4 linked regions of the Drosophila melanogaster genome follow. The protein of the gene in region 2 interacts with the protein of the main gene of each other region in a pairwise test. Each region holds a gene or a part of one and is shown on either strand. Other genes may lie near its edges.

Region 1 (5,907 bases), 930 kb from region 2:
GAACTATGGCAGGAATATGAAGAAACTCTGGATACATTCGAGCCAATGGCGAAAACGGCAACACAGAACGGCATTCTCTGTGCTTGCTTTTTATTAGAATGCGTCCATGGAGACGTGGGCGCCAGCCATTGTCTGGCAGCCTCCTCCTCCATGAATCCCTATCGCCTTCAGAGCGAGTATATATTGTATAATATATATTGTGCCTGTGCAGCTCGCTATACATTTCTTAGCACGTAGTTACCTATGGCAGCAACTGGAACAACAATGCCACTTGAAACAACAATAAAAAGTTTGTTGAATACAGATACTCGTATATGTGGACAACTCCCTATGCCGCCATGAAAAAAGAAAGAGAAATAAAATATAAACTTTCTACACCTAACTGGCAAAACATGAAGCCATAGCAATCTAGTTTGTAATGTAAAGCTGCTTACTAACTACGTTTATATTTTAAATACATTTTGTAGCACATATTTCAAACATTTAATCGCACTTTTTGGTCTAGGTTTTAATTGGGCATTATCTTTACTATTATTATAAAATTCTCTATGATGAGGCTTTTTACACTCCTTCCGGTTTCCAAGTCTCGACGACCGCGCTAACATATTGATTACAGTTAGGCGGCAAGGTTAAAATCCTGGACTTAACTATTGGCTCGTTCTTCTTTAAACAACGCAACATGTTGTGCATATTTCTTTCGGCCTTTGCCACGTTTTTAATGTCGGGCGTCACACCGTTAGATCCCAGGACTCCACACAACAGAAGCAGGATCAAAAAGTGCGTTCCGTGCATCTTTACAACTTGGTGAATGCTAACGATTGATATTCTTTGTAGTTGCTTTAAATAACATGAGATGAAATCGTTAATTGGCATAACAAATTGAATTGGTTAAAGGAAAATATGTTATAGATATTCGAAATGGTTTATTACAATAGGGGTTATATAACCTAGTATATGACCAAAACATATTTCTCTACTGCTTCGGATTTATCAACCGATTATCGATCCAATACCAGGACAATTATATTTTATATCTCCAGTTTATTCCAAATATACTATATATTTAAATCCTTGATCAATGCTTTTTAATATACATTAATTTGAGAATAAAATAATTAGCTTGTACACAAATTAAACGATAACAAATAAATAAAAAACATAATAAGTTCACATTTTATAGAATCTTTTATTCTTTTTCTCACAACATAGAATGTTGTTTAATTAATATTTATTACATTATGATTCACATTGGAATCAGCATCTTTTTGGGCCACAGCGAAGCCAATAAGCAGCAAAAAATAACCCGCAAGGAACTTCATGTCTATCAGAAGAGAATAGAAATAAAACACAGACCCGGTTTTTATATAGTTTATAAGCCAAGTGTTGCATAAGCCAAGCGAATCGTTTAATTCTTTTAAACGGTGGCCAATTTTAATATCGTTAAATCATTTTTCTTTCGGTCGTACGAAAATCAAATCTTTTGAATATTACATTTGGTAAAATTGGTTTTGCTACATTTGGTTTTGGTACATTTGGTTTTGGTACATTTGGCATTGGCACCTTTGGTTTCGGTATCAGCGCTTTTTGAAACACTTGCGTTTTTAGCATAAAATATATATATTAAAATTTATATTTAATATAATTAGGCAAAAACATCTGATATACTGTCAGATTGTGACTAGTCGTAAAAGCCATGACCATTAATAAGTTTTGGCCAAACAAAGCTTCGAACAAAAGGTTTATGAAAAAATATATATGGTATATTCTTGTATACTAAAATAGATTTAATATTTCAACTTAAAATAAAATAAATAGGCCATTGCTATTACATGCAAACAATTAAGTAAATGTTTTATTGAATTCTGTGCCTGCAATTATCAAAAGCTCATTTACTTTGCGGCGCTGGGACTATTGATGTGGATCACATTCTTGTTTTCGTTGGTGTTCGGATCCGCAGATTGGGCGAAAGCCACACCGGCAAAGAGCAGAACAAGTGCAGAGGTGATCTTCATGTCGGCCAGTTGGAATTGGAAGTAATGACAAGCTAGGGGAGTGCTCTTCTTATAAGGCCTGGGTTGCGTAAGCGATACTAATCTAAATGCCAGACAATTTGAAATTAATTGCACGATGAAAGAAAAAGAAGTGGAACTAATTCCTTAAACCCGAGACATAATAGACCGATTACAATTTAAATAACACTTGATTCCTTTTGTCAATCTGACAAACATTTATATAATCTGAACTTACCTGGCACGGCGATAGAAATCTTTCTTGATTTCATAAAATTAGTATTAGTCTTTAGCAAGCATTTTTAAAAAGCACGCCAATGAAATTTACTAAGCCGAAAAAAAAAGTTTCTTCTTGAATTCAAATTCATAATCACACCTGTTTCAGAAGGATATGAGAAAGCAGTTGTCTGGTTACTATCTACCACAGTTCTCAATGACTTGTCGTGATAACAATAGTCAGTTAAAATAAAATTATTATTTTCCCAACAATATTGGGAAACGTAAATGAAATTTACTGAACCGAAGATACCTTTTTGTTGTTTGAATTCCAATTCATAATCACACCTGTTTCAGAAGGATCTATGACAGCAGTGGTCTGGTTACTATCTACTCCCATGTCTGGTTGGGGTTTCAAAAGTCAGTCCATGTAGTTTAATATTGTAATACATAGATTAAACACTCTCATAAACATATATTGTGATTAGCGATCCATTTTATTAGAAGAAAATAACCTCTGACTCATAATATTTAACTTTCGGCTGGAGCATCTGCGAGTCCTGCTTCAGGAGCAGCTGGAGCTGCGGCAGGAGCTGCGGCAGGAGGTGCGGCAGGAGCAGCAGCAGCTGCTGCGGCAGGTGCAGCTCCTGGCTTCTTGGCACCGATGACGATGACGTTGTGATTTGTATTCTGGCTCTTTTGGGCGCTAACCAAAGCCAGAACAACCAGCAAAGTGACGAAAAGAGCTAGGAACTTCATATCGGCCAGTTGGAAGTCAATTTAAAAGAAATGAGGAAATGCAAGACCGCTTATATAGGCAAAAAAGATCGCCAAGTGAAACAAATCTTCAAATTCGACACGCTTGACCTTATTATACGTGGTTCATTCGAGGAAAATAATGTAATTATCATTGGCATGTGTTTGATTATGCTGATATATAAAAAAAGGAATTAAGTGGAACCCAAGCATAAGTTACTTAAAATATAGAGCATAAGCTTTCAAAATATCATACAAAATATTTTTTTCTTGCATATTGCTGTTACAATCACAATTTCGTGTGTGAAGTGAAACGAATTTGGCTGTTAGTTAACCGTAAGCTACGACGTTGAAGTGCAGTCTAAAAATCTCATAATGAAAGTGTCACGAACTTTAATCGTTGTAGGTTCTCTGCTCCTGATTCTCAGCATCGTATTAACCTACAAATGGATAGCATACAATCATGCTTACCCGAAAGCACAAACAGAACTAACGAATTCGACGAAGAAAGCAAATCTCATCGATAGCAAGGCTAAGAATAAAAAGCACGTGCAGAATTCCTTAGCCAAAAAGGCAGCCAAGTCGGTGGCCAACCAATCCAAGTTCAAATTGGACAAGGTTTCTAAGAAAATTCCAGTCATACCCCTGCTCGATGTTCTTAAGGCCAAAAAGCAGCCAAGTCGTGGACAAAATATATTCTTCCATGAAACCACGAATTTCAAGCGGATAGAAAAGAGCTCTGTGGTCCAATTGACGGCACGGGAGGCCTGTGCCATTGAATCGGCCGCCCTTCACAATCCAGGCCTCACTGTATTTGTACTTTTTGCCGGCGCCACTCATCGCCCATCAAGTGGAGATCCGCTGATCAGGGCTGTTCACACATGAACACGAATATATTTAAAGACTTACAATTTTGGGCTCCGTTCATATCTTATGTAAATGAATCGAGAGCGATAAATTATATTTAGGATTTTGTTATCTAAGGCGACATGGGTGCATTGCTCAAAAACATGTAATTTAAGTGCACACTACATGAGTCAGTCACTTGAGATCGTTCCCCGCCTCCTAAAATAGTCCCTTAGTGGGAGACCACAGATAAGGTCCTCGCCGCTCAAGATAGGCAGATGTGCCCGAGCGTGGGACCTCGATAAGGCGGGGACTATTTACTTAGGCCTCTGCGTAGGCCATTTACTTTAAGATGCGATTCTCATGTCACCTATTTAAACCGAAGATATTTCCAAATAAAATCAGTTTCTTACAAAAACTCAACGAGTAAAGTCTTCTTATTTGGGATTTTACATTTGGTCAATCGAGCCTTTAATCGACTCTGCAGTTTCCCCCTACCAAAGGTAAGGAACTCAGAGAAAGGCCAGCTCCTTTAAGCATCTTACAGCTAAAGGTAGCAAAAATAAGTGACTCTTGTTTCCCCCTACCAAAGGTAAGGAACAGAGTATAAATATAAAAAGCAAAAGATACAAAAGAATCTTTTATGTTTTAAAACAAGCACCTTATAGTCTATAGCTAAAGGTTGCTTTGTGTACCATTATAAATTGTGGTAAGGCGTGCTTGAGGCCATACATCAGCAATTGTGGAATTAAAAAGTGCATAACAAAAGTGCCTTATAAATGCTCTAATAGCATTAAATCAGCTCATAAATAGAGTGCAGTGTATATGCCATAAGAGCATAAATTAAATAAAAAGTGCCTGAAAACAGTGCCTTATAAATGCTCTAATAGCATTAAATCAGCTCATAAATAGAGTGCAGTGTATATGCCAAAAGAGCATAAATGCCGAAATAAATGGCTAAAAAACAAAAAATCTGACTGGACTACAAAAATAATAAAACGTGCCAAAAAAAAAAAAAAAAAAAAAAAAAAAAAAAAAAAAAATCATCTTTAAACATCGACGGAGCCTTAAAGAAGAGAAGGAAGTCAAATTCAAAGGAGCCTCTACCAGCAGCAGAAGCAGCAACAACAGCAGCAGCAGAAGCAGCAACAGCAGTAGCAACAGCAGCAACAACAGCAGCAACAGCAGCAGCAACAACAACGACATCAGCTAAGTCAAAACAAGAATTTTCTGTTTATCCAAACACACATATATATATAAATACATATAAAATACATATACACGTACTATATATATTAAGAAATTACAAAAAATTTTCAAAATGATGTCAGAAAAGACTATTCAATTCCTTAAGAAGCAGTCCGAAATTATTTTGGAAATTAGAAAGTTGGAAGTAAAACCAACATTAACAGATGTAGAAATTCTAAAATTAAATGAGCTTCAAAAATGTTTCATTGCTAATCATAGCAATTTGTTAAAGATCGGCGTTGTCGATCATGAATATTTTAACGCGAAGCAGTATGATTTAATAATGATGGTGTTAGAAAAAATTAAAAATAAAAATGAAAAAATTAAGGGCGAGTCGGTAGAAAACACTTTCCCTAAATCAAACACTGTCCCTAAATCAAACCCTCCCCCTACATTAAACCTTGAAATGCGTGGTCACCCTGAAAAAGAGGGTATAGCACAAAACAACGCTTTAAAAGTAGAGCAGGCATTTCGTAATAATGTTGGCCAATTTCGAGTATATCTAGAAGATACGTCTAAACTAATAGACAGTAGTCCAGATTTCCTTAAAATAAGGAAAAATAAAATTGAATTTTTATGGCATAAAATAGATAACCTGATTGAACAGGTGAATAGTCATTTTGAGAGTTCGCTATTCGAAGAAGAAATTAGCGAACTTGAATTTGACAAACAAAATATTCTTACAGCCATTAATAGTCGACTCAGTGGCACAATAAATAAAGCTGAAATGTCGACGGTTGTTAAGGCGGAGGAGTTACCAACCCTGCCTAAAATACAGATTCCCACCTTCTTTGGTGATTCCAAAGAATGGGATCTTTTTAATGAACTCTTT
Region 2 (8,400 bases):
TTCTTTACCGCCCGCCGACGCCACCGCTCGTCCCATTCATTCCCATAATTTAGCAAATATTTTTTTATTTTTTATTATTTATTTTCCCATTTTGCCTCTATGTACACGGCATAGCAACTGCATTGGTTATAACATTTTCTCACGTTTCGTCGTGCAGATTTCGGCACAAGTTGCGCCTTGGTGTGGCCGATCCAATGCCTGGGATGGCATAGTATGAGATCTCGGTTGGCAGTTGCAGTGTGGTGGCTCCACAGTTCCATGCCTCCATGCCTCCATGGCACTATGGTACCATGGTGATAATGATGATGGTGGCGAGGTCGCTGGATCGGCGGAGGCGGGCGACTAATGCACATTTTATGCAAATTTCGAATGCGCGATCCCCGTGTTTTGGGTTTGCTTATGGCAGCTTAAGTCGGTTTACGAGTGCCAGTAAATGCAATTTAGAATGCTTGAATCTATTGACTGTCAATAGGCGCAGATATTAAACCTGTTTGCCTATATGCCTAACATATGTAGATCGCAAACTAAATTCTTAAATTATATTTAGGTTTTCAACACCACATAATATTTATAGCAATTAATTAATATATAGCAATTCTTGCTTTAAATTCAGAATGATGCAGCACCTTAATTAATTTTATATTAATTGGGTAAGATCTAGTCAATTTTGTTCTGAGAATGACTACAAATTAGAATTAAACCAGTTCACGCATGTCTTAATACAATACATTCGAGACGGAAAAAATAATTAAATTATATGACTTGTCAGATATCTATAAAACCCGACACATAAATAACTCTTTATAATGCTATGCCTATTAACAAAAGTTCTAGTTAGAAAAGATCTCTTACAACAGATTAAAAGCAAGTTCGTTGCCTAAGTCATTCGTTTTTATGGAGACTTTTTGCGTTTCTCTTGCATATTTTCAAATGTGCCGCATCACGGCAATGCGTCAAATTAGCCAGGCAGTCCGCTCACTGACCACTATCCGACTGCCTGACTGACCCATTCCAATCCAATCCCAGCGAGCGCCGCTGAGCTTTGATTTCGCAAGCGCCGTCGCATCCATAAAACTGTAAATTGCACAGCTGCGTCTCCGTCTCCATTTGCGGCTGTCGCTGCCACGTGCAATCCCCGAATCCGAATATGAGTCGGAGTCCCCATCCCAATCTCAGGCAGCCAATGCGAAATTATATGTGTGTAAATACATTTATATGTACCTATGCAATTTCTTATTATGAGCGGTACGCTGCCAAAGGTTTTCCAAGAGCTGCACTTTATCAACGGGAAAATCTGCTGGCAGCCCATGCTCATTGCTGCACAATTACTCAACGACCTGGGTTTCCAATTCCCGCTCGAGTCCCAATCGCAATCCTCGGCACTCGTTAGTGCACGCAGAAAAAAAACTATAGCAAGCGAAAAAGAAATAAAGGTGAATCCAATTGAATCAAGTTCAAAATTATTTGTAGCATGTTCTGAAGCTAATTTCTTAACTGTGTGTTCGTATAGTTTCATTATTTAAATTAGTATAAGATTGATTTTAAAATATTACAGTTTTTTCTTTCTGTGAAGTTTGCACTATCTGTTGAATGGTTTTTTTGGCATTTTTTGGCGCGTTGCTGGTGGGATGGATGGGATGGGATCGAGAGTCGAGAGTCTGTTCAGGCGCATCTTCAGCTTAATTGAATTTTAGCTGCTGCTGCAGCTTCTGCTGCTGTTGGTGAATGCATTTTCCACCGGCTCCCACACGTTGTGCAAATGCTTTCGGCACTTTTACTGCACATCGGGCTTACATAATGAGTAAAAATTAAATAATTTACCCAGCCAATGGATTCTGGCGTGTACTGTAGCTTGTAGCTGCCAGGTGGAACACCGAATTCGTGTCTTTGTCGGCAAGCACATTCATCAATGTCAGGCGTTGAGTCCGAGGCCATTTGAGTTTCGAATAGATGGGTATTTAATTGAAAGCGCCCGCTAATTAGAATCCAATACGCTTAGATGCTGTGTAATGCCAAGCGATGGATCGTGTCGGACCTCATCTTCCAATAACAATTGGGACTTGGGCATCTGGCACTTCCTTATTGCTGGCCTTTCCCACGCAGAGGGATCGCGTGAGTCATTGCCACACACAGGAGTTGGATCGCAAGGCGAACAAACATTTATTACAAACAGCATTACAGCTCTTGCACAATCGCAATCGGCAGCAAATTAGAAAGATGGCGGCCACTTCCCACAGCTTTTTTGGCAGATGGCTCCGCTCCGCTCCATACCACACAGGGTTGAAAGTCATCCTCCAGTTGACATTTTTTCGCCAGCTGCTGATCTGCATGACTTTGGCTGCCTGGCCTTTTTCCGGCAGGCAACCTCAACTTTGAAATGCCAAGCTGCCAGCTTAGTGCAGTTTGGCGCACTTCAGTTCAGTTCCAGGTGACATGACAGCTTGAGGTTGCTTGCTAGCCATCTTTCCTGGGCAGCAAATATGGAAAATCTAAGCAGCAACGCCCAAGATCCGCCAAAGATCTGGCCAAAAGTAGCAGGCGTGTAAATTCCCACACTGCAGCAAATGCCGTCAGCCTAACCGTCACCCGGAGTCCCCCATCCATGGGGCTCCATGCCACACTCACCCATATACACATAACCGGATTGGCGGTGGCACCGCGACTTTTGCCCCGACATGGCAGCCGCGGCAGCAACGGCAGATGGGGCAGCAAATGACAAAGCCCCGCCACGGCTATGACATAATACCCAGCGGAAGATGCAACCAACGAGCTTGGTGCACCAAGTGCACTGCAAAAATCAAGAACATCATATTGTTCGAGAAGGAAATAAATTTGAAGTAAGATTTTAATAACCTAGAATATTTGTAAGGATATGTCGAATTCGGAAACCAGAGAAAAGGCTCATGTGGGCTACCAAAGAAGTTTTTTATTTTGTTGTACTTTTGATCAAATTTATTTGTAAAATCTAAACCTCTCTTTGTTCATCTACTTTTTTCCTCAGTGTACAGCGGGTGTAATTGATGTGGGGTCGTTGGTCGGGCGGGGGAGTGCTTGCCCATAATCATGAGCGGGCCCTGCGGCCAGCTGACGTAAGTGATGAGCGCCAACGACTCCTGCCAGGCGGTGCATCGCGTACAATGCAACCAAGTAAGTGTCATATGGTCACACGTTGCGTATGCGTAATTTGCGTTAAGCATACGACAGCGAGCCGCAACCAAATAAGCAGCAGAACCAAGAAGCGGTGGAAAAACAAGCACAAAACCGAACAGCAGACGACCACGAAGATGCGAGACGAAGCTGGAACGCTGATGCGCTGCTTGCGTCGACGACGCACAGTAGTTAAAATATACAAAATATACTTTAAGAAAGAAACTTAACCTTTCAACTATATGTATTAACATTTTAAGAAATCTAAACCAACAAGATGTTAAAATTCTATTAAAACGTAAGCTTTAATTTAACTCTTAAATACCTTAAATATTTATATTTACCTATTAAATACGTATGATTTCATAAATACAAATGCTTATATTAATCTTTAAAACGTTTGTAGTTTAATGGATGTATTGTATTTCAGTTTAGATCATCGGGATGGGATAAATTAGATTATCACACATTTTTGCCCCACTGTGCACCAGTGCGGCTGCTGCCTTGGAAGCAGCGCCCCGATGGGCTCCAAGTGGTTTTCCTTTCGCTTTCAGAAATCATTTCGCTTCGACAACGTGAACGATAAAGTCACAGATCGCGCATCGCGAGCCCGCTCTGCCCGCTGAACTCGCCTGGTTCGCCTGTCTCCTCCGGTCGGTTGTTGGTTGCTCCTCAGTGGATGTGGTTGGTGGTTGCTGGCTGGTGGTTCTGCTGTGACTCTGTGTTTTCCGCTGTTTGCCCAGCCAAGTGCGGCGGAGGCAGACGTCTTCAACGTCTCGCTGCACCTTCTAAATGGGCTTTCCGTAGTTTTCGCACCTTGCGAAACACATTTCGTACGCATTTACATACAAGATCGAAGTTTGAAGAATTTTGCCCTGCTGTCTGCTCATTTCCTACATGACGGACAACTTTTTATGGCGATGATTTTCGCGTTGAGTTAGTGAAAAAAAGAAGCAAAAATACAAAACAAAAAAAAAAAACAAAGTAACAAAGAAGCAAAAATCTTGTGCAGTGGGGAGTTTTGCAATCAAATCCCTTTCAATACTCATAAGATTTCTGGTGTTGTGCCCTCTTGTTTTGCAGTGCGATCCATGTGAAAATCGACATTTAGTATCAGCTTAATTGCTCTGGATTACTTATTGGATATCATCCTGATTTTGGATTATAAAAACTAATACAACATGCTGAGCATTATAAATGCAATGATTGCCTTCCTCCTGGGTGAGTAAAAGTTTGAATCTCAAAAAGGATATTATTTTAAGCAGTTGGATTAAGCAGTTAAATTTTAATTAAATTTTTTTAACTACATCATTACAAAATTAAGGTGACGTTTTTTTTTAATCTTAAATACTTTAAAAAATATTTTTCTATTTCATAATGTACATGTTCAAAGAAGGGTTAGGATTTATTAAACTACATTTGAATTGTGTCAAAATTTTCCCTTTTATGTTTTCCCTCTAAGTAAATGTAATTTTAAATATAAAAAAATATAAGCTTAACCCTAAGCAATTTCGTAGATTAGAAAACAGGCATCAACTTTAAGAAAAACGTAGAAATTCGATTTCGATTGAGTACAAAATTTCCAAACGTTTTTCTAACTAAAAACTATGTTTTGCTTTTTGTGATCCCATTTGCTGACGATCACCTTCTCTACATAAATGATAGCATATCGGTAAAAAAAAAAAAAAAATCGCATGCTCATTAGGTTTTGTTTTTGAACACATGAAATACAGATACAGTGCGCTGCTTCAAGGTCCATCGCGAAAGAAATTAATGGGATTCAATGGGTTTCATATCGATCACATTTGAAATCAAGCGTAATTCGCTTGGCAGCCCCTGCAGCAGGCAAAAATGAAGACAAGGCTGAGAAATGGCAATTACGGCTAAGAGTGGGTCATCAGTAAACATAATTACCATACTGTAGATTATATTTTTTCAGTGAGAGCTTGAGTGGGACAACGCCCAGCACAGTGGCTTGAGGGGATTTGAACTGCGTGAGAGCTTAGGTCGGCCCAAAGTTTTGACCAATTTGTAGGTTCAGCTCAGCAACCAAGCAATTGAAATCGAAATCGAACAATCTACAATGGATGGGGGTAACAAAAGAGCTGCCTGGGATGCCTTTGCCAGTGCCCCATGCCATCTGCCCAGTCATAGTTCACTGCCAAACAATAGGCTGCTTTGCTGGGGTGGAAAGTTGGGTTTGAAATTCACTTGAATTAAATGCGAATCAGAGTCGAGTTTCGGCCACAGCGTCTTTCTTTCTTCGAACTGTGCTGGATGGCTTGTTTTCTCTTTGTTTTGCATTTTGGGTTTCCTTTACCAATTTTTTTTTTTTTTTTTTTTGGCATGATAAATGGGGGCGCACTGGGGGATTATGCAACCTGCGACTGCAATTTGCAGCCGTAGAAGAGGAGCTTTGTTCTGCAGTTTGCCATGACAATTACACTTGCCTTAATTGCAGCGAAACCATCTTCCGCTGTCTGCAGAACAGAAGCTTCGAAGAATAAAAAAATATATGCAAAAAAAAAAAGATATGTCTAAATGTATATAAAAAGCCATAGACAACAATGATACATTGTTCAATCTCAGGGTAATTAGGCAGACCCCTGAGTCTGTTTTGCTTTTAATGCCCAATGTACACATGTCCGACAAGCGTAATCCGTAAATTTGATTGACTTGGCATTTTAATTGAGCGACCCCTATGTGCCCAGTAGATCCAGTGGATCCGTTTGTGACCACAGCGATCGCATATCGTTCGGCTGGCCAAAATGTTAATGATGTCGCTCGCCATCGCAAATACCAATCGATGCTCCGAAAAAGTAAATAAAAAGCGGTCCCAAGCACTCACAGAACCGAGTTAGTAGCTCCACAGCCTTGGACCGCAGCAAGTGCTCCGGCACACATAAATCACGAGCTCGTCTCGCAGTTGTAAGCGAAAGTGATGCGGCCCGAAGGTCACTTGACCACCAGGGCACCAGGCACCATCACCAGCAGCATCGTCTCGATCGGCACCAGCATCTGTTCCCACTAAATACCCATTCGACTCGATTCTGGCCCCACTTGAGGTGCCGTTTGAAGAGCAGACCTAACCGGATCACGATTTCTGACTTCTTTATATTGTTTCCACTCTTGCAGCAACGACACTTTGCAGTGGATACGGATACGCGCAGGCCCAGTTGCTCGACGAGGACGACGACCTGGCCTTCGGAAGGCCCTGGCCCACCTACAGCCTACAGAACATGCCCAAGACGCAGTTCACCTGCCACGACAAGATCCTGGGTGGCTACTATGCCGATCCGGAGACCCAGTGCCAGATGTTCCACGTCTGCGTCAAGCTGCCCGGAGTGGGGGTGAGTAATGTTGTGCCCAGGTGCAAGTGCTTCTGGTTGAGATCAAGGCAGCAGTGGCTCATGTAGCAAACGACATTGGCATAGAAATGATATATTTAATATGGGTACTAAATACTACCTTTTTTTGACAATAATATTTTCTACAGAATCAAAATGAAAATACTTTACAAATTTCAATATATGGTTTATTGATCAAAAATTACCACCTAAATGACAAACTTACATTAACCTACAATTTTAAGATTTTATAAAGAGATACGCACAGATTAAGCAGACAATATAGAATTTTTGATGTAGGCAAATTTGATAGTGCGAATTTTTTGATGCAACCTATCACAGCGTAAAACTGGCGGGAAAAACGAAAGACTTAGGCAACAAACTTGCCGACAGCCATTGGCTCGGTTCCGTCGCGCCAGCTAAATGGCAAAGTGGCACAGTCAGATGCGATGCACTGCGGAATGTGTGAGATGGCTCCAAATGGTTCGTGACTGGTCCGGATAGCCGGATGGCTTTGGTGCTGGCAAAACCTGAAGAAGAAGACGGTTGACTGGCTGACCTTTAAGCGGGGGTTTCGCTGGGAGCCGAGTGCAAAGTACTACAAACTAGGGTCTTCCACCGGATTCGTCTGCGAATGGAGCTCATCTGCATCCTTCTGCGGAAGACGCGATGTTTTCCGGTGCAACCATCGTTGAGTTGCCTGGCATAGGGAATCGAACAATTTGGTCAGCTGGCGAAGCTGTCTTTGCTCATTATACTGGATATCCAACCTTTGACGTTCCCACATTTCCTGGAACTTGTCCGTGTACTCGGCGATTTTGTCCTGGAATTTTCGCGTTTGATCTCTCAATTCCATGTGAATGGATAGCATGAGATTGCTCTGCATATTCAGTTGACTGTTCTTTTGGTCAAGTTGCTGCTCCAAGTGGCAGTTTCTCTCCGTCAAATAATCTATGTCCATCTGAAGGCCCTTTAGCTTTTTAATGGACATTTCTGCTTCTGAGCGAATTGCCAGCATTTTCTGTTCAACTTTTTGCTCAAAATCTCCATCCGAAATGTCCTCCTCAGAGCTATCACTCGCTTCAAGGCTTTCCAGAAATCGCTCTAGCTCTTCCTTGTCCACAACTATTCCTAAAGCCTTGTTCCTTAGACAGCGATATTTAGCCCGCTCCTGCCTTAACAGTCGTCTCCACACTTCGTCGGGCAAACTGGCATTGGAGTTGGACGAGGGAGTGGGAGCCGGTGTCACCGGGTCGTCTTTTCCCTCCGGTGGATCTGCGTAGTTGATTATCACCGTCCTGCTCCCGTTGCCCATTAGTTGATTGAGTAGCCTTGTCAGTCGAATGTTATAGTACCGTATGTGCGTCTTCGGGCTGTTGGCCAGTACCTGGAACAAACTGATAAGCGTGTCCAGGGGCGTGTCCGATTCGAGTGGCGGCGAATCCTCCGTCAGTTGCTGCAGGTGGACCAGCTGCAGTCTACCGCAACATTTCCGCAACTGATCGCCATTCGTCTGCTTCACATGGACGGTGAAGATCAGGTGTGGGCAATCGCCGCCCTCAGCCACCTTGTCCATGACCCTCGCGATATAGGCGTGTACCCCGTGGGACGTGGCCACAAAGTGATCTCGGGTCGTCCGGCGATTGCAACCCTTGAGGTTCACCACCAGGTCGTTCGTCTCCCCGTTCAGTTGGACGTAACGCACCGAAACGTGAACTTCCATGTTCGTCTCCAACTCGTAGATGCGGGTGAAGAGCTCGTTCAAAATGCGGCTGACCACATCCGACGGATCGGCTCCATGGTTAAATGGTATCCTGCCACAGCTGAAGACTGTGCTGATGCGTCCACCGAGGACCTGATCAAGCACTTCGCTGATTGCCTCCGCGCTTACTTCCAGTTGCAAGTC
Region 3 (8,154 bases), on a different chromosome or scaffold from region 2:
TTAGCGATGTAATCGCACTTGTACCTTTTTGGTGTAGTTTCTATTAGATTTTGTCTAAATCATTGGCTCGACTCATGTAAGTCTTTTCAACGATCTTTTGTGAAACTGATAAAGTTTTAAGGCCAGGTTAAAAGGCTGATAGGATAACTAAAATCAAAAATAGTAAGTACATTGAATTTAACTGTGGGGTTGTATCCACGACTTATGTCCCATTTTGATATGGGGAAAATTAGTCTTTATTTGTATATCAAAAGTACAAATAGAATTTTAACTTTGAGAATTGGTCAATTATTGTTATCTCGATCAGATATAAATATAGCTCGAAATTTTAATAGGTCTAAACTGTTGTTAAACATATTTTTACTTGATAGATGAATTCATTATACTCAGTTTACATCGGTTGCAATTTGCAATTTTACAATATTATTACTTATTTTAAGTTTAGGACTGAGTATAATGTGTTAGTTATGAAATGGGTCCCTGATAAGTTAGTAATTTTGTTGCAGCGGAAACCGCATCGACAACATTAATATAATATTTGGGCGGTTGAGGCTATGGCGTATAACGCAGCCCGCCGCTTTACTTCGCACCACGAAGTTGTTGATTGATGGCTGCAAGGCGCTCTTTGTAGCGCTGCCGGTCTTCCTCATTAGTTGCCGTCTTCAGTAGTTCGATGTTGAGCCTCCGGGCGCTGAGCAACTTAATCCGGCGGCCACCCCTCTTCTTTTTAGGTGGCTGCTCCCTCGCTGCAGTCCGTGCCTTGTACTCTTGTATGGTCAAGGGCTTTGGTCCCGCGGACGGATCTACCTCTATTACCTCTTTGATACTTGGCAGATCCCTTTGCTCGACAGGAGCAGGGTGTTCGAACGTCTGCTTGGTAGACATTCGCTGTTGTCATGTGCGGCGCGCCGGTGGAATCCTTTATCCTTTATCCTAATCCTACCCTCGCAGGATGCCGTGCTAATTGCTGTTGCGGCTTACAATGGTCGAGGGCAGTCGTTCATGCAGACGTCGGGTCTTTTCGGCTTGGGTGATGTTGAATTTTCAGTTATTTCTTCATTGATTATTTCTATTTTTGCTGAGTGAGTTGTGGTATTCGGCTTTCTTTGCTGGAGGTTTTCTTTCAGAAAGTCTAATTCGGCAGTTAATTTCTGTGCCGTTGACCATGGGGGCGGTGTTTTATTTGTATATCATAGCCACTTAATATGTGCTATACCTTTATTTTTGATTTCCTGACATCCGCGTTTGCCCATTACCACACTCTACTCACTCAGTATTTTTGTTTCTTTTTTTTTCATCAGTGTCCCGTCTCTAGGTCTCCCGCACTGGTGTAAGGGGCGGCCTGCCTCTCACACCTGTTGTCGCTGTTTAGAATTCCCAAATCAAATCGGCAATATTAGCAGCATTTCCTCAGTAGTCCTCAGATCGCAGGCTCCTGCCTCACGGTCGCCATGTAATAAACCAATATATGCCACCAATTGAGAACACGTGTTTTCCTTGCAGTTGGGTGCAGCCGTCAGGCCACCTTTTTATTTCTTCTTATCTCTTCGAGTAGCAGAAACGGTTCTGCCCGCTTAACCTCTACAGAGTGTCTAATCTTACCTAAATACTGCGACTGCGCCGCCGTCGACAGCGGCAGAAGAGCAGCGTATATATATATGTATAAGAGAGAGAGAGAGAGAGAGAGAGAGAGAGAGAGCTTATGCGCATATATGGCCAGCGGCCAGCGTGGGGATGCTGACTTAGCTTAAAGCATAAATGGGTGATCTTATATCACGCTCACTTGAGACATTTATTTATGCAATGCAACTAAGTGTTGCTGTGTACTTATAGGTACAGTATACCCTCGATATATGCACATACTACAATTCGCCACTAGATTTCTAGTCTAAGTATATTTTAAACACAACTCTTCACAGACCGCGCTACGATGGAGTTCATTAATTAATTCAATGATTAATGACAAAAGCAATCCAATAAAATCTATCCACATTGTTGTTGTGATCCACAGAAAACCCGAAATAAACGTTAAACAAGAAAAATTAATTGTTCTAATTTTTTTAATATCGTCTTATTCCTAGTATATAATGAAAACTTTAAACCTTAAATCTAGGCATCCCGATATAGTAAACTTGTTAAAATAAAAAATGAGTAAAATTTGGAAAACAACACACAGCATCAAAATAACTCAAAATATTAAATAACACTTCGTTTTGGAAAAAATTTAAATAAAATTTCGCTGTGTAAATAATTTCAGTCAGTAGACTTGTAACAAAAGTAAAAACATTAACACCCCCTAAGTAGTTGGAAGAGCAACCAATATCAAGTTAACTATCACTATAATGCTTAAGATTCTGAAACTCCCGAAGGCACTATGGGCAGACTTATTTTGTTGGCTAATTCAAAGCATTTGAACAAATACAAGGCTGAGCAGTGATCCCACAGCCATGCCACAGCTCAAAGCAGCTGCCATTATCGACGAAGCCAGCTCCTTTTCATGCTGCTTTACGCGTTTAGGCGCCATTATAAGTAGTATGTTCGTAAAATATCCGTTGGACAAGGCAAACATTACCATCATCGCTATGAAAGTATAGTCGTGTTTTACCAAAACTGGCAGAAAGCTGTGTTCGCTGGAGTTTGAACATAGAAATAACGGAACAAACGCCATGCGCACTACAATAAATAGTAGCGAAGTGTTCTGGTTTAATGGTCGCTCCATCCAGCCAGCAAACAGACGACCAAAATAGTCACCGCAGTTAAATATCAGGTAGTTCACGACGGGCAGAAAATAAACATCTGTAAGAACACCGCATATGAGGCACGAACAAAAAGAATAGGTTTTCTGTTTACCTGTCCACACGCTGTGGCCGTACTCTGACTGCATAAGCACTGTAACTGCCGGATAGACAGACAGGGTCGTGGTATAGAGGAGCGCTAGGGAAATGGCATGCAGATAGATCTTCGACATGACCTGACGCAAAATAGGCTCAAGCGGCAAGCCCTCAGCGCTTCCATTCCGGTTGTGCGAGGGCACTGCCCGGATGACCTTGTACTTGTCGCCACCTTCGAGATAATACCTAAAGAAAGGCTTTCGAGCCAGGATTACGTAGCACACAATGCAAAGCAGGATGAGCACTCCTCCCACAATGAAGAAGATGAATGCAGTGGTATTGGGACCCGTGTCGAATGCAAGCACAAGAATGAAGGCCAGGGCTGTGAGGATACCACCAAGAGCCTGTCCGCTAACCACAGCGGTGATAAACTCGGAGGGAAATAGACCAGCGACTCCGTAGAGGGCTCCCGACATTGTAGCCGCAGATACTATATATAATAAATATTAAGTAAACACTCAAGGAGTACTTCATGGTACCCACTATTTAGCAGCACTACAATGATGAGAGTGATTAGGAAAAACTGTTCCTGCCACGTGTCTGTGTTGATCTCCACGAAGCCAGTTGTAACCCCGAAAAGGATGAGGATCATCCACAGCGTTCCTAACATCTTGGTGCGCAGGGACACATGGTGTCCGAAAATGGCGTTTAGCAGCAGAAATGTAGTCCCAGAAATAGTGGCCGTGAGAGCCAAGTCGCAGGTAAAACTCTTCTGCAACGGGGTGAGCTCTTCCTCCAGGTCTGTGTTATTAATCGATGCATTCCGGAACTTGTACTTCCAGTACTGAAAGAGAAGCGAACAGGGTTAAAGCGTAAGTCAGCGGAAAACAAAGAAAATCAAAAAAGAGAGTTTTCGTCTGGGTGTGGGTCGTAAAGAAACGACGACAAAGCTGATAAGCACCGCGCCTTAGAATTGCGCTTGGCCCAGTTGTTCAGCTGTTTGGAATTGATATGTCCGAAGTTCAGTTAAATTGACTAGGATGCGGGTGCGGAAATTTCCACTCGTTAAACTTACATCTTCCGCAGTCACAAAGAAATTCCACGGGGTCATGGTACCAATGCCCAACAGGTAGAACACGAGGTAGGTGAAGAGTCGTCCACTCTCGGGTTCGTTGGACACCAAAACTACCTCGTCCTGCTGGCGTTCCATGAGACATTGCTCATCCGCATGGTGGTCCTGCGGACGAAAAGCGGGAACGAAGCTGCCCTCCGTGCCCAGAATCTCGTCATCCTCGTCCAGGGCGTCCACCAGTCGTCGTGTGTCACTGGTGCCTGGCATTGCCACTGAATTGCACTACTGTTTTGTACGCAGCCCTTGGTATTCATAAATTTACAACACCTCTGGCGGATTATTCACATCTGTAATTGTGGAGAAGTATTCGATGTAACTTAATCTGATGCAATTTACTTTCATGTGTATCATTTAGCACGGACGAACTGCGTAACATAAAAACGAATTTGTAAACAACAAAGCAAGACATTATACAAAAAATATCGATGGCTTATCGAGAGGAATCGATTAAATGAAAATATCTAAGATATCGCACTAACACCACAAAACCGTTCACCCAGGTTGGCAGCCCTTGGCGCGAAATGTGATGGGATTCAAACTGCATCTTAGTTTTGCATCTTAGTCCTATATTTTAGAGGACTGTGAAATTGGATTTTATTTGCAAAACGAGCGTAGCATCCACCTCAAATCGTAATTTAATTGCCAGCCAGAGCAGCAACAATAAAAACACCAATATCAAGCAGACCCTAGAGCTGATGATGAATGAACGCAATTTGTATTTAATCAATAAGCACGCCCCGCAGTGTTTTAAATCAGCGCACAGCTTCGTTTTACGGCTTAGCGCCATTCGCAGGATGCGATCCGCCCTCCACCCCTCGCCCATTGATCGCTTGCGAAATTTTAATTGGATTTGCATTCGCGTTCGTCCCGAAACCGGTTAACACACGCTCCTTCCCTCTGGACATGCGTTTCCTGACCCCCTCACTGGTCGGGACATAAATTTATTTTTAATTTACTTATGCGCGAATTTCCGATCTCTGCCCTGCGGTTGTTTGATTTGCGAATTAAACTGGAGGGGGCCTTCGAGGAGAAGCGTCCTCGTTAGCGCTGTTGCCCAGGTGGGCAAGGATCGAGGGGACTTCTCTTCCGTCTTCGATTGTCATCGCGGGCTTGCAAATTAGATTAGTTCATAATGATCACGAGGGGGTTTCGCATCCCAGCGAGAGGCGTGTCATCTCATTAATTCCGTAAAAACGCTGCCCCCACTCCCATGAGCCCAATCAATCTCCCGATGAGATTCTGATTCCCCTGCGCAGGCCACACACTCTGCCTCGGTCTGGCAATTTAAAAATCACATTAAATTAGTCAGCAAGAAATCACCACAACGAAACCATCAACAAATCATCTCAAATTAAATTCATTCAGAGAGTGGAAGTGGATGGGGATGTTGATGTGGATGGGCTGATGGTCTGATGAGTAGCCAGTCGGCTTAAGCAACTCATCTCCCATTCATGCCAACGGGTAGCACTACGAGATCGAGACTGGGCTCACTAGCAGACTTGGCAATTAATAAAAATGTAAATTCAATTAAATTTATATGACAGCTGGCTGTCAGAAGAGCTCAAATTAAAAATTACTAACAAGACCTGTTCCGCCGAGATCGCCGTACTTCCCGTGTCCCGAAGAGCTACTCGACGAAAAGCCTCGGGTGCAGGCCACGCTTAATTAAAAATCCAACAACTTCAACTCGCAGACGAAGATGATGAAGATTGGGCTGCGGATATGGATTCCATTCGCCCTCTCTGCATGCTCTACACTCCGGTGCCGGGCAAATCTCATTTGCCGGACTTCAATTTGAGTGACGTCCTCCGACCACCCGAGGTGATCTTGTTCTGGTTTCCTCCTAAAGATCTCTGGCTTTTTGGGTATCCAAGTGGCAGTTGGCTGGAATGCTTGACAGCCGCCGTTTAGCAGGAAAGCTGACGAGGGATACATGCACTTAATATTTACATTGTCATCGGAAAAATTAATATTATTAATTAATTAATTTATCCCGTATATACGGGATTCGGTACATAACACTTTTTGAATGGTAAAAAAAAAATTTACCCAATTTTAAAATTTTGGATTATGATTTTTGGCGAAAAATTGAAAAAAAAATACAATTTCTAAGTTGGAATGCAGTTCGATTGGAAATTTTATTACGAATTCAACAAGGCATATCACTTTTTTCTCCGATCATTTTTTGGAATGTTATGCGAAAAATAATGACTTTTCTATGACAAAAAGTTAGGATTAGCTTAAGTTCCACACTTTCATTGCAATCATTTTTCGAAACTTGGCTTAAAATTGTCTCACAACCAAAATTCTTACTGTTTTGAATAGCTATTGACCTAAACTAACCACCCAAAACACTTTTTGAATGATATCAAAAAAAAAAATTTTTTACCAATTTTTGAAATTTTGGAAAGGGGTAACATCATGATTTTTGGCGAAAAATTGAAAAAAAATACAATTTCTAAGTTGGAATGCAGTTCGATTGGAAATTTTATTACGAATTCAACAAGGCATATCACTTTTTTCTCCGATCATTTTTTGGAATGTTATGCGAAAAATAATGACTTTTCTATGACAAAAAGTTAGGATTAGCTTAAGTTCCACACTTTCATTGCAATCATTTTTCGAAACTTGGCTTAAAATTGTCTCACAACCAAAATTCTTACTGTATTGAATAGCTATTGACCTAAACTAACCACCCAACCCACTTTTTAAATGATATCAAAAAAAAAATTTTTTACCAATTTTTGAAATTTTGGAAAGGAAAAATACAATTTCTAAGTTGGAATGCAGTTCGATTGGAAATTTTATTACGAATTCAACAAGGCATATCACTTTTTTCTCCGATCATTTTTTGGAATGTTATGCGAAAAATAATGACTTTTCTATGACAAAAAGTTAGGATTGGCTTAAGTTCCACACTTTCATTGCAATCATTTTTTGAAACTTGGCCTAAAATTGTCTCACAACCAAAATTCTTACTGTTTTGAATAGCTATTGACCTAAACTAACCACCCAAAACACTTTTTGAATGATATCAAAAAAAAAATTTTTTTACAATTTTTGAAATTTTGGAAAGGTAAAGGTAACATCATGATTTTTGGCGAAAAATTGAAAAAAAAATACAATTTCTAAGTTGGAATGCAGTTCGATTGGAAATTTTATTACGAATTCAATAAGGCATATCACTTTTTTCTCCGATCATTTTTTGGAATGTTATGCGAAAAATAATGACTTTTCTATGACAAAAAGTTAGGATTAGCTTAAGTTCCACATTTTCATTGCAATCATTTTTCGAAACTTGGCTTAAAATTGTCTCACAACCAAAATTCTTACTGTTTTGAATAGCTATTGACCTAAACTAACCACCCAAAACACTTTTTGAATGATATCAAAAAAAAATTTTTTTACCAATTTTTGAAATTTTGGAAAGGGGTAACATCATGATTTTTGTCGAAAAATGGAAAAAAATACAATTTCTAAGTTGGAATGCAGTTCGATTGGAAATTTTATTACGAATTCAACAAGGCATATCACTTTTTTCTCCGATCATTTTTTGGAATGTTATGCGAAAAATAATGACTTTTCTATGACAAAAAGTTAGGATTAGCTTAAGTTCCACACTTTCATTGCAATCATTTTTCGAAACTTGGCTTAAAATTGTCTCACAACCAAAATTCTTACTGTTTTGAATAGCTATTGACCTAAACTAACCATCCAAAACACTTTTTGAATGATATCAAAAAAAAAATTTTTTACCAATTTTTGAAATTTTGGAAAGGTAAAGGTAACATCATGATTTTTGGCGAAAAATTGAAAAAAAATACAATTTCTAAGTTGGAATGCAGTTCGATTGGAAATTTTATTACGAATTCAACAAGGCATATCACTTTTTTCTCCGATCATTTTTTGGAATGTTATGCGAAAAATAATGACTTTTCTATGACAAAAAGTTAGGATTGGCTTAAGTTCCACACTTTCATTGCAATCATTTTTCGAAACTTGGCTTAAAATTGTCTCACAACCAAAATTCTTACTGTTTTGAATAGCTATTGACCTAAACTAACCATCCAAAACACTTTTTGAATGATATCAAAAAAAAAATTTTTTTACAATTTTTGAAATTTTGGAAAGGTAAAGGTAACATCATGATTTTTGCCGAAAAATTGAAAAAAATACAATTTCTAAGTTGGA
Region 4 (8,234 bases), on a different chromosome or scaffold from region 2:
CGGATTCTTTGCCAAGAGGATTCGAACCAAGAATGGACAGAATCCGGAGAGCATTGCTCCATTAGTGAAGGGCAGTACCATATTTGCCAACAGCTTCGATTTGTACGGCAAAGATCACTGTAAGTTATTTGGGGGGAGCTTTGCTGGCTTATCTATGCTAATGACATCATATCATGGCTGTTATTCTTATTATACAATCAGCTGGTGTTTTTGAACACTCGCGTGACTGTGCAAAAAAACTGGGCAAAAGCTACGCGGAATATGCAATGGGAACGGCCATCTACAATGTTATAGACGCAGATAGTGCGGAACGTGTGCTTAATGATCCAAATCTAATAAACAAGGGAACAATTTACGATTTTCTTCATCCATTTCTGAGAACTGGACTGTTGACATCCACGGGTGAGTTTGGATTAGCACATGCTTCATTTGTTTTACAACGCTATCACGCTTTTTAGGAAAAAAATGGCATGCACGACGCAAGATGCTTTCCCCAACATTCCATTTCAATATCTTAAATCAGTTTCAGGAAATTTTTATGTGAGTTTGGATTTCTAACGTAGTAACTATTCAAAAAAAAAAAAAATGAACTTTACTAGAACGGAGAGTCTGAAGTTCCTAGAGCAATTCAAAGGCAATGATGAGGCAATCATCTCGTTAAACGAAGTCATTCCCAGATTTACCCTGAATAGCATTTGTGGTGAGATGCAATACGTTTTAAAAGTTTTGTTAATTATAAAACCACAAACATATCTGCAGAGACGGCCATGGGTGTGAAGCTGGACGAGATGGCCGAGAAGGGGGATCGGTACCGGGAGAACTTCCGTCAGATCGAAGAATGCTTCATTCGTCGCATGAGCAACCCACTTCTATGGAGCGATACACTATTCAAGATGTTTGCCGAAAAGGATTACGCGTCTGCACTCGATGTGGTCCACGGATTTTCCAGCGAGATTATTGCCAAGAGGAGAGATCAGCTGAATGATGAGATAGATAGCAGAGGAAACACTCAGACCGCTGAAGATGAATTGTAAGGCATTTGACAGTCGTCCATAAGTCCATAACAATACCGATTACTTTAGATTTACCAGTAAAAAGCGCTTTGCCATGCTGGACACCCTTATTCTTGCCGAAAAGGATGGCCTCATCGATCACATTGGAATTTGTGAGGAGGTGGACACTTTGATGTTTGAGGGCTACGATACTACCTCAATTGGGCTCATGTTTGGACTAATGAACATGTCTTTATATCCCGAGGAGCAAGAAAAATGCTACCAAGAGATCCAAGCTAACATAGATGGTGAAATGAGCTGAAATTAGTAAACTTACGATTTCATAAGCATATAAAATCTTTCAGATGAGCTTAACATCTTGAACATCGGGCAGTTGAACAAATTGAAGAATCTGGAATACTTTATCAAGGAAACCATGCGCCTGTTTCCTTCTGTTCCCGCCATGGGTAGGGAAACTACGCGGGAAACTGAGCTGAGCAACGGTCTCATCTTGCCAAAGGGCTCCCAGATTTTTGTCCATGTCTTCGACATCCATCGCAATCCCGAGTACTGGGATTCTCCCGAAGAGTTTCGCCCGGAGAGATTTCTGCCCGAAAACTCGCAGAATCGTCACACCTACGCATATATTCCATTCAGTGCTGGTCAGAGGAATTGCATAGGTATGTAATATTGCTTACTCTCATGGAATGATTGGATAAACATATCATTTTCTTTGTAGGTCAAAAATTTGCCATGCAGGAGATGAAAACCCTAATGGTGGCCCTACTGAAGCAGTTCCAAATTCTACCAGAAATCGATCCGAAAACTATTGTTTTTCAAACTGGACTAACACTGCGGACCAAGAACCAGATTCACGTGAAGCTCGTGAGAAGAAAATGAGGCAGCTTTAACGGAATGGAATTGTTCACGGAACTCTGTTAGTCATAAAGTGCACAGTGAACAATAGTTTCATCCAAAGACTCCTTTCTTCTTTCTCTTGGTGCAAAAATGTCCTGTGACTAGCTTATGGCCGATAATCGTTGGCATCTCGACAGCTGCCGCCCTATAAATCATTCATGCCCTGGCGGGTAGAAGCACTTCTCTTCTTCTTTTCCAGCAGCTATTACAATTCCAACTCCCATTTCCCACACAGTGGGAGCTCCCTGTCATTTCCTACCCCTCCTATTATTTTTGAGGCAGCCCAGGAAAAGTCAAGTAATCTCTGTCCTTTAGCTCACATATATGGGAATGCAAATGCATAATGCGCTGGCGACTTTTTGTCATTTGGTTTTCCTCCTCCTGCCGAGGCTACATCCCTTTCCCAACGACTCCTTTTTGCTTTAACTGCGATTTTGACAGTTCGTTACTCAGTTATACCATTTGCATGCATAATGCAGACTCAGCTTTGTTCTAAGCACATAAAATGTGGCAAAAAGACATGGGTGACCATGGGCTCGCAAAATGCACTGTGTGTGGTGCACTGAAATAAGTTCCATCTATCTTTGGCTTCCTATTTATTTTATGAAATATTTATATCATGTTTCGAAGGGATATTTTTAGTTAGCTTCTCTTTTATATGTGGCTTACTACTACTCTACTATTGAAAATAATTATCGTAAACGCATATTTTTTAGTGTGCGCCCAACTCGTTCCAACATCATCATCCATCCTGGGGACCCAGGATTTATGGGACAGCACATGGAAATGGGTGAAAGGCAGCTCTGGTTTTAGCTGCTACTCGGCTACTGCATATTTCATTAGTGCTCTGTGCGCTAGTGCTTCGTCGCCATAAGTCAACATTAAATGGATTCCATTTGTGAGTCATGTAAATTAAATTTCCCTCGCTTTCACATGTGTCAAGCGAACGTTTGGATCTCAGAAAATCTAAGAATCGGCACCCCTCTCACCTGACTGACTGCCAAACTGCGCACCAAAAGGCGAAATAAGAAGTCGCAATATCCGCCACAAAAGAAAAAAAAAGAAGATAAGTGCGACGCACTTTTGCCTGACTGAAGGACGAAACCCCAAAAGCTCAGCAGCTCAACAGCTGGTCCTGTCGATTTGCCAGGGGAAATTAGAAGGCAACCGACTGGAGGGATGGCGATGGCGATGGCGATGCCGATGGAGGCAGAGTGAATTAATTACTTTATGCGCATCTGCGTGTCGCTGTCGGGCACTTTACACTTCCCCTGTATCCTTTTTCCCACTTCCCTTGTCCCTTGTACCCCACATCCACCCATTCCCCCGTCCAAAGTCTTCCTTCCCTTTCGCAAAACTCACACATGACGCTATTAATTTCTATTACCAGCCTCGGACGGCCTGCCTGCCATACTTCATTACGGACTTTCGTGCAATTGCCGCTTGCCCGAGCTACCTTTCAGCTCCCCTTCCCCTAGTGCACTGAGAGAAATTATTGGTGACTGCCAGCGGAATTAAGTTTCGTTGAGATTTAGGAGCAAAGGTCTAACAATCAAAAGTATGCATTAAGTTTGCGCCTTATTAATGATTTCACATGTTCAAAATGTTCAGTAATCATAATTTATAATGTATAAATATACATATGTAATTGAAAATATATTTGATCAAAAATAACTAAATTTATCATTAAATTCTTACCTAATAAATTATCATAATACGCTCGAAATAAAGGTTAAATAATTATTTTACAAGGTGTGAAATACATAATGATTTTAAATATTTATGTGAATGCTATACGAAAATTTATTTCGATTTGTCATACATGACAATCATGTTTTTCTTTATTCTTACTGAAAAATAATGTTTGTGATTGCGTTTGAAAACTAACTTTAAAGACTTCATGATGTCTTGCTTTGAATGATTCATAATAAAAGCCATTATCCTTGCACCTTATAAGCATGTCTTTTATAATTTAATATGAAAAGCAACCTAAAAATTTGTTGCCAAATATTTTCCGCAGTGCCCCGTTTTCGCGATGCCCTTGCTTGTTTGTTGACTCTGATTGGGATTAAGGTTGCCCATGGGCTCTCGGCTCGCTTTGATTGCCTTTGTGCCGCAGATGCCGTGAAATATTTCATTTGCTGCCAGTTATTTGCTCTTGCGCTCTGTAGCTTCCCCTCCCGGTTACGAATTCATTTCTACTCCGGATTTATATCCTTTTTGTTCGAGCGTGTGTGATAATCGCTGGGAGCTGGAAGCTGTGAACTGTCCGATTTCCATGGATGCGTGGAAGGCCATTTAATAAAGTGACCGAGTTCGAGGCGGCCCGTCATAATTTATTTACGCTTTTCGTCCGTCCAGTGAGTGAAGGTCAAACGGAGGAGCCCACGTGTGTGCGGGGCAATTAGGACTCACCTGGCTCGGATGTGGTGCTGGTCTCGACGGGCTCCGTGTTGGCATTGCTTTTGTCCAGGACCAGCAGCAAAACGGTCAAGGATATTAGGGCCCAAAGCGGCTTATGGCGCATTCGCTGCCTGCTCCACATGTCCAAGGATCAGATTGCGATTGCCAGAGTTTCGGCGTTGTTTTGTTTTCGTTTGTTAAGCAACCCGATGAGTCCTTTCAAATAGCAACGAATTTAACACCACTGCACTTCACGAGTTGACTTCTTAATGGGCCAAAAATAGAAATCCACTTGGCCAACTCACACACACACACTGGCGTACCGCCAGCAGTAACCCACACTCGCGCCAAACTGTATGCAACGTGTGCGCGTGTATGTGTATGTGTGTGTGCTCTTTGGCTTTAAAGTTTCACTTTTACTTAGAGTCCTTTGCGGGGTTTTATCCTTTTCGAAGCTGGGCACCTATCCTCTCGAGCGACGACAATCGAATGCCACGAGTGCGGCGAGCGTCTCGCTTTTATACCTCTCGTTGGATTCTGCGCAGCTTCGGCTCTGCTTCGTTCGGCTGCAATCGGCTGCATTCGGCACTCGACGAAGGATCGCACTCGACGAAGCTCGCCAAAGGATGTGTCACGTGCATTTTGCCGGCAAATCGTGTGTTTTTGTTTTGGTTTGGCCCATGTTTTGCTTAGTCGCTGTTGCCATTGCCGTTGCTGTTGCTGTTTTTCGTCATCTCCGATTTTCCTCTCTCGCTGCTTTCGCTTTTCGCTGTGCCCGTGTGTCTGCGTGCGTGCCCTTGTAACTCTCACGTAGCTCTCCTTTTTCCCACTCCCCCCCGAACCAACCAAGGAACACCGCCCACCCACGTGGCCAATTCCCAGCTACAAATGAAGTTTTCCGCTTGCTTGCCACGTTGATTCGGTTACTTTCCAGTTTAAAACTAATTTAATTATACTTCCTTAGTTCAGGCAGATACTTTTTACTGGTGCAGCAGTGAATCAATCGCATAAAATCAATTACTATTTCCTAATTCACTAGGGGAAATCGTTGCTGAAAATGTTATTGGCTTAAAACTGCGATTTATATAGCCCGAAAACATGAGCACATAAGGTACAATAACTAGACGACTATAATTATTTAATTGAAATATTGTATGTAGGAGATAAATATGAGAATTACATTTTTGGATACATTGGCAATAACTGCTAAAGTTTAAATTTTATGATTTTTACTTGGCGGTAAGCTTAGCAACTAAATGCAATTTTTTTGTAGCTAATTATATGTTTATAAATTCAAAAGTGTGCTTCCGTGTTTACTACAAATTCAAAGTGGGTACATTCTATTGTGGCTAAGGAGTGCAGTGGAGCCAAGTGCTCGGCAAGGGACTCACCTTTGCTGCTCCTCAGCTGCCGCTGCCCTGAGAAGTATGCTATCAATTGTGCTGACGTCGCCTGTCTGCTGGCCATTCCTTTTGGTCCTGGCCAATAATCAAGCAGCAGTTGCGGTGATTTTGAGGCCTCTGCTCTGCGACCGAAGCCAAATGGCATTTGGCATTTGGCAACCAGGTTGCGGATGCCACTTGGCCACTAATTACGCAAATGAATGCTCCGACAGGACGCCCCTTGTTGTCCTCGCAAGATAAATGTCACTCATTGGAGGTTCAGGTTAGTCCTGGTCCTAAAGCGTAACCGTAACAATACCGTCTGGGTCGCTCTTGTCTGTCGCATTGAAATTTTGCTGAAATGCGAAATACCAAATGCGAATGCGAATGCGAAACGCGCTCAACTCCAGTCGAGTGGAAAATGAATGTTTGTGTGCTGCATTCTCCCCCTCAGCTGGCAATCCAATTGTGCAGCGGCATTATCTTTTGTGTATAGTTTCTGGCATGCCGTCCTAGTGGCCCGAAACTTTGGAATGCAATCAGGCTGAAAATTTATACGTTTAGCATGTTTATCCTGCCTCCTGGCAACGAGCGGCTTTACAGCAAAATTCAATTTGCTGCCCTGCAACCGCAGGCTGAAATTACATCTCTGGTATTCCAACTCAATTCGATGCCGACGGGCCGAAGGCTAATAACCAATGATTTCCTGGGTGCCAATGAAGTGCGTGCACCTGACATGGTCGCAGCTTTTCTAGATTAAAATGCCTGCATTTAGCAGATTAAATTATTTAATCAAGACAATTACTTACTGGCTGTGCGATGGGCAGATGCAACAAATACATGGCTTACCGAATCCTCATTTCGGTAGAATGAATAATACAATATGCATAGTAAGTCACGCAAAAGGAATATTTACTTTGGCCAGCTTGGTTGGCAGCTGATTTAATAACTACACATCCAATTGTTTTAAATGAAATAATCTCCTCTTCGTTTTAATGAAATTATTGCTTTAAATAAATTCCTTGTTGTTTTGAACATATGTCAAAATAATATATTCTTTAAGTTGTAATTCAGGTTTTAGATATTCAAATATACAATAAATATTCTGAGATTTCTTAACATCGATCTCTTCGATAATATGTTATGCTCCTTATTTTGCTCAGTGCACCAAGCGGAAAACAATCGCAAGTAAATCAACTGGTTCTTAATGCCATTTGCCAGATAGCGAGCCCAGGGATAAACAAGGACTCGCACCCGATGGCCAAATTCCAGGATCTTGTCTTGTCATGCAATTATCGAGTTTTAATGAATTTTCGCGCGCAGTCAGAGGCGAAATCCATTAAAGGACTCGCGCAGACAGACACGGATGCGATGGCGGCAAGGAAGTGGAAGCGGAAGTGGCCAACTAATTACGCCAGGACACTTGGCACACAAAAAGCGGGCACCAGCAAATGCTCGAGTTAATTGCATTGCCAATGATGCGGCAAAAGCGTTTTGACGACCAAAGGGCCATTAAGTCATTAAGACGCTCAAAATGTCATTAAAGAGCGAAGCCAACACGACCACAATCTGCGCAAATCGCAGCTACAAATTATTTTGCACTACCAGATATTTAGATACAAATATTGGCTTTATACAATCATCAGCTTGTCATTGGGAGCAAAGTATGTGGTGGCAAAAAGTTCTTGAAGAGCTAGCGATCCACTTTTCGGTTGGAATAAGGGCATATTGGCATTAGCATTGGCATTCTCTGCTGGCCAAAGTTAACCACAGCTGTCGGCTTGTTGGCCCAAAACGCCCAACTAGTCGGGTCAGTGGGCAAATCCGAAGTGCCAGCTGGAAATTCCCGCTGCAAATTAAATAAGTGTCTAATTGCTGACCAGCAGCATAAAATGTGCACAATTGCAGAAGCAGCCGTGGGAACCAAGCGAAATACAAATGACACGACCCAGTAATAAATCTCAATTGATCCCGCAGGTGCAGTGGCAGTTTGGTCGATTAAAGCTCCCTCAACGACTGCATCCTGCAGCGTTCAGCGGTCAGTGCAGGCATAACAGGTGGGGAGGTGGGTGAATCCGTGGCAAATACGTTAAGTGGCAGCAACGAGCCACAACAACGACCCTTCAATTGTGGTCCATGTGGCTTTTCTGCGTTTTTGGAGGGTAAATGCTTTCGAAGAGGATAGGGAAATGCAAAAATTATATTGGGGGAAAAGGTGTACACTTTAACCTTTATAGCTTGAATCTCCAAGGAACTTCACATAGCATTTTTCTCTATATAAAAAAGTATTGGTTAAAGTGCTTATAAAAACATTGTTAATTAAAGCCGCCCAGATATAGCAATTGAATGAAAAAGTCGGGGGAATGCCGACGCATGGAACTTGGCCATAAATGCTCCAATGGGCCATTTGCCATGGAGCAATGGTTATGGCGAGAATAAAACCCAGCCAGTGCAAGTAATGTTGTGCCCAACTCCCGGACTCAAGCCACTTCCGTCCAGTGGTCAATGGCCAATGGCAGGACAAACTTTGGCCAGTAAA

The links.
Region 1: the proteins of CG13643 (region 2) and Mst57Da interact in a two-hybrid assay, tested with the Drosophila melanogaster proteins (one large-scale study listed by BioGRID).
Region 3: the proteins of CG13643 (region 2) and Ent1 interact in a two-hybrid assay, tested with the Drosophila melanogaster proteins (one large-scale study listed by BioGRID).
Region 4: the proteins of CG13643 (region 2) and hig interact in a two-hybrid assay, tested with the Drosophila melanogaster proteins (one large-scale study listed by BioGRID).

The regions. Positions count from the first base shown.
Region 1 is NT_033777.3:25,828,893-25,834,799, forward strand, and holds Mst57Da (Male-specific RNA 57Da), read right to left. Parts: upstream 3,008-5,907; 5' UTR 2,985-3,007; coding exon 2,757-2,984; 3' UTR 2,683-2,756; downstream 1-2,682. Other genes in the region: Mst57Dc (Male-specific transcript 57Dc), read right to left, coding at 562-792; Sfp96F (seminal fluid protein 96F), read right to left, coding at 1,218-1,319; Mst57Db (Male-specific RNA 57Db), read right to left, coding at 1,890-2,012. UniProt on the Drosophila melanogaster protein: Transferred from male to female during mating and may affect egglaying and behavior after mating.
Region 2 is NT_033777.3:24,901,307-24,909,706, reverse strand, and holds the start of CG13643 (uncharacterized protein), read left to right. Parts: upstream 1-3,702; 5' UTR 3,703-3,800; exon of another isoform or gene 3,801-3,980; intron 3,981-4,230; 5' UTR 4,231-4,328; coding exon 4,329-4,368; intron 4,369-6,282; coding exon 6,283-6,497; intron 6,498-6,658; exon of another isoform or gene 6,659-7,092; coding exon of another isoform or gene 7,093-8,400. Other genes in the region: CG10845 (uncharacterized protein), read right to left, coding at 7,093-8,400.
Region 3 is NT_033779.5:353,517-361,670, forward strand, and holds Ent1 (equilibrative nucleoside transporter 1), read right to left. Parts: upstream 4,359-8,154; 5' UTR 4,171-4,358; coding exon 3,907-4,170; exon of another isoform or gene 3,813-3,906; intron 3,676-3,812; coding exon 3,375-3,675; exon of another isoform or gene 3,322-3,374; coding exon 2,851-3,321; exon of another isoform or gene 2,797-2,850; coding exon 2,402-2,796; 3' UTR 2,049-2,401; downstream 1-2,048.
Region 4 is NT_033778.4:9,242,440-9,250,673, forward strand, and holds the start of hig (hikaru genki), read right to left. Parts: upstream 4,811-8,234; 5' UTR 4,456-4,810; coding exon 4,326-4,455; intron 1,972-4,325; exon of another isoform or gene 1,893-1,971; coding exon of another isoform or gene 1,732-1,892; intron 1,673-1,731; coding exon of another isoform or gene 1,358-1,672; intron 1,301-1,357; coding exon of another isoform or gene 1,083-1,300; intron 1,031-1,082; coding exon of another isoform or gene 760-1,030; intron 701-759; coding exon of another isoform or gene 600-700; intron 541-599; coding exon of another isoform or gene 459-540; intron 403-458; coding exon of another isoform or gene 202-402; intron 120-201; coding exon of another isoform or gene 1-119. Other genes in the region: Cyp4p3 (cytochrome P450 4p3), read left to right, coding at 1-119, 202-402, 459-540, 600-700, 760-1,030, 1,083-1,300, 1,358-1,672, 1,732-1,892.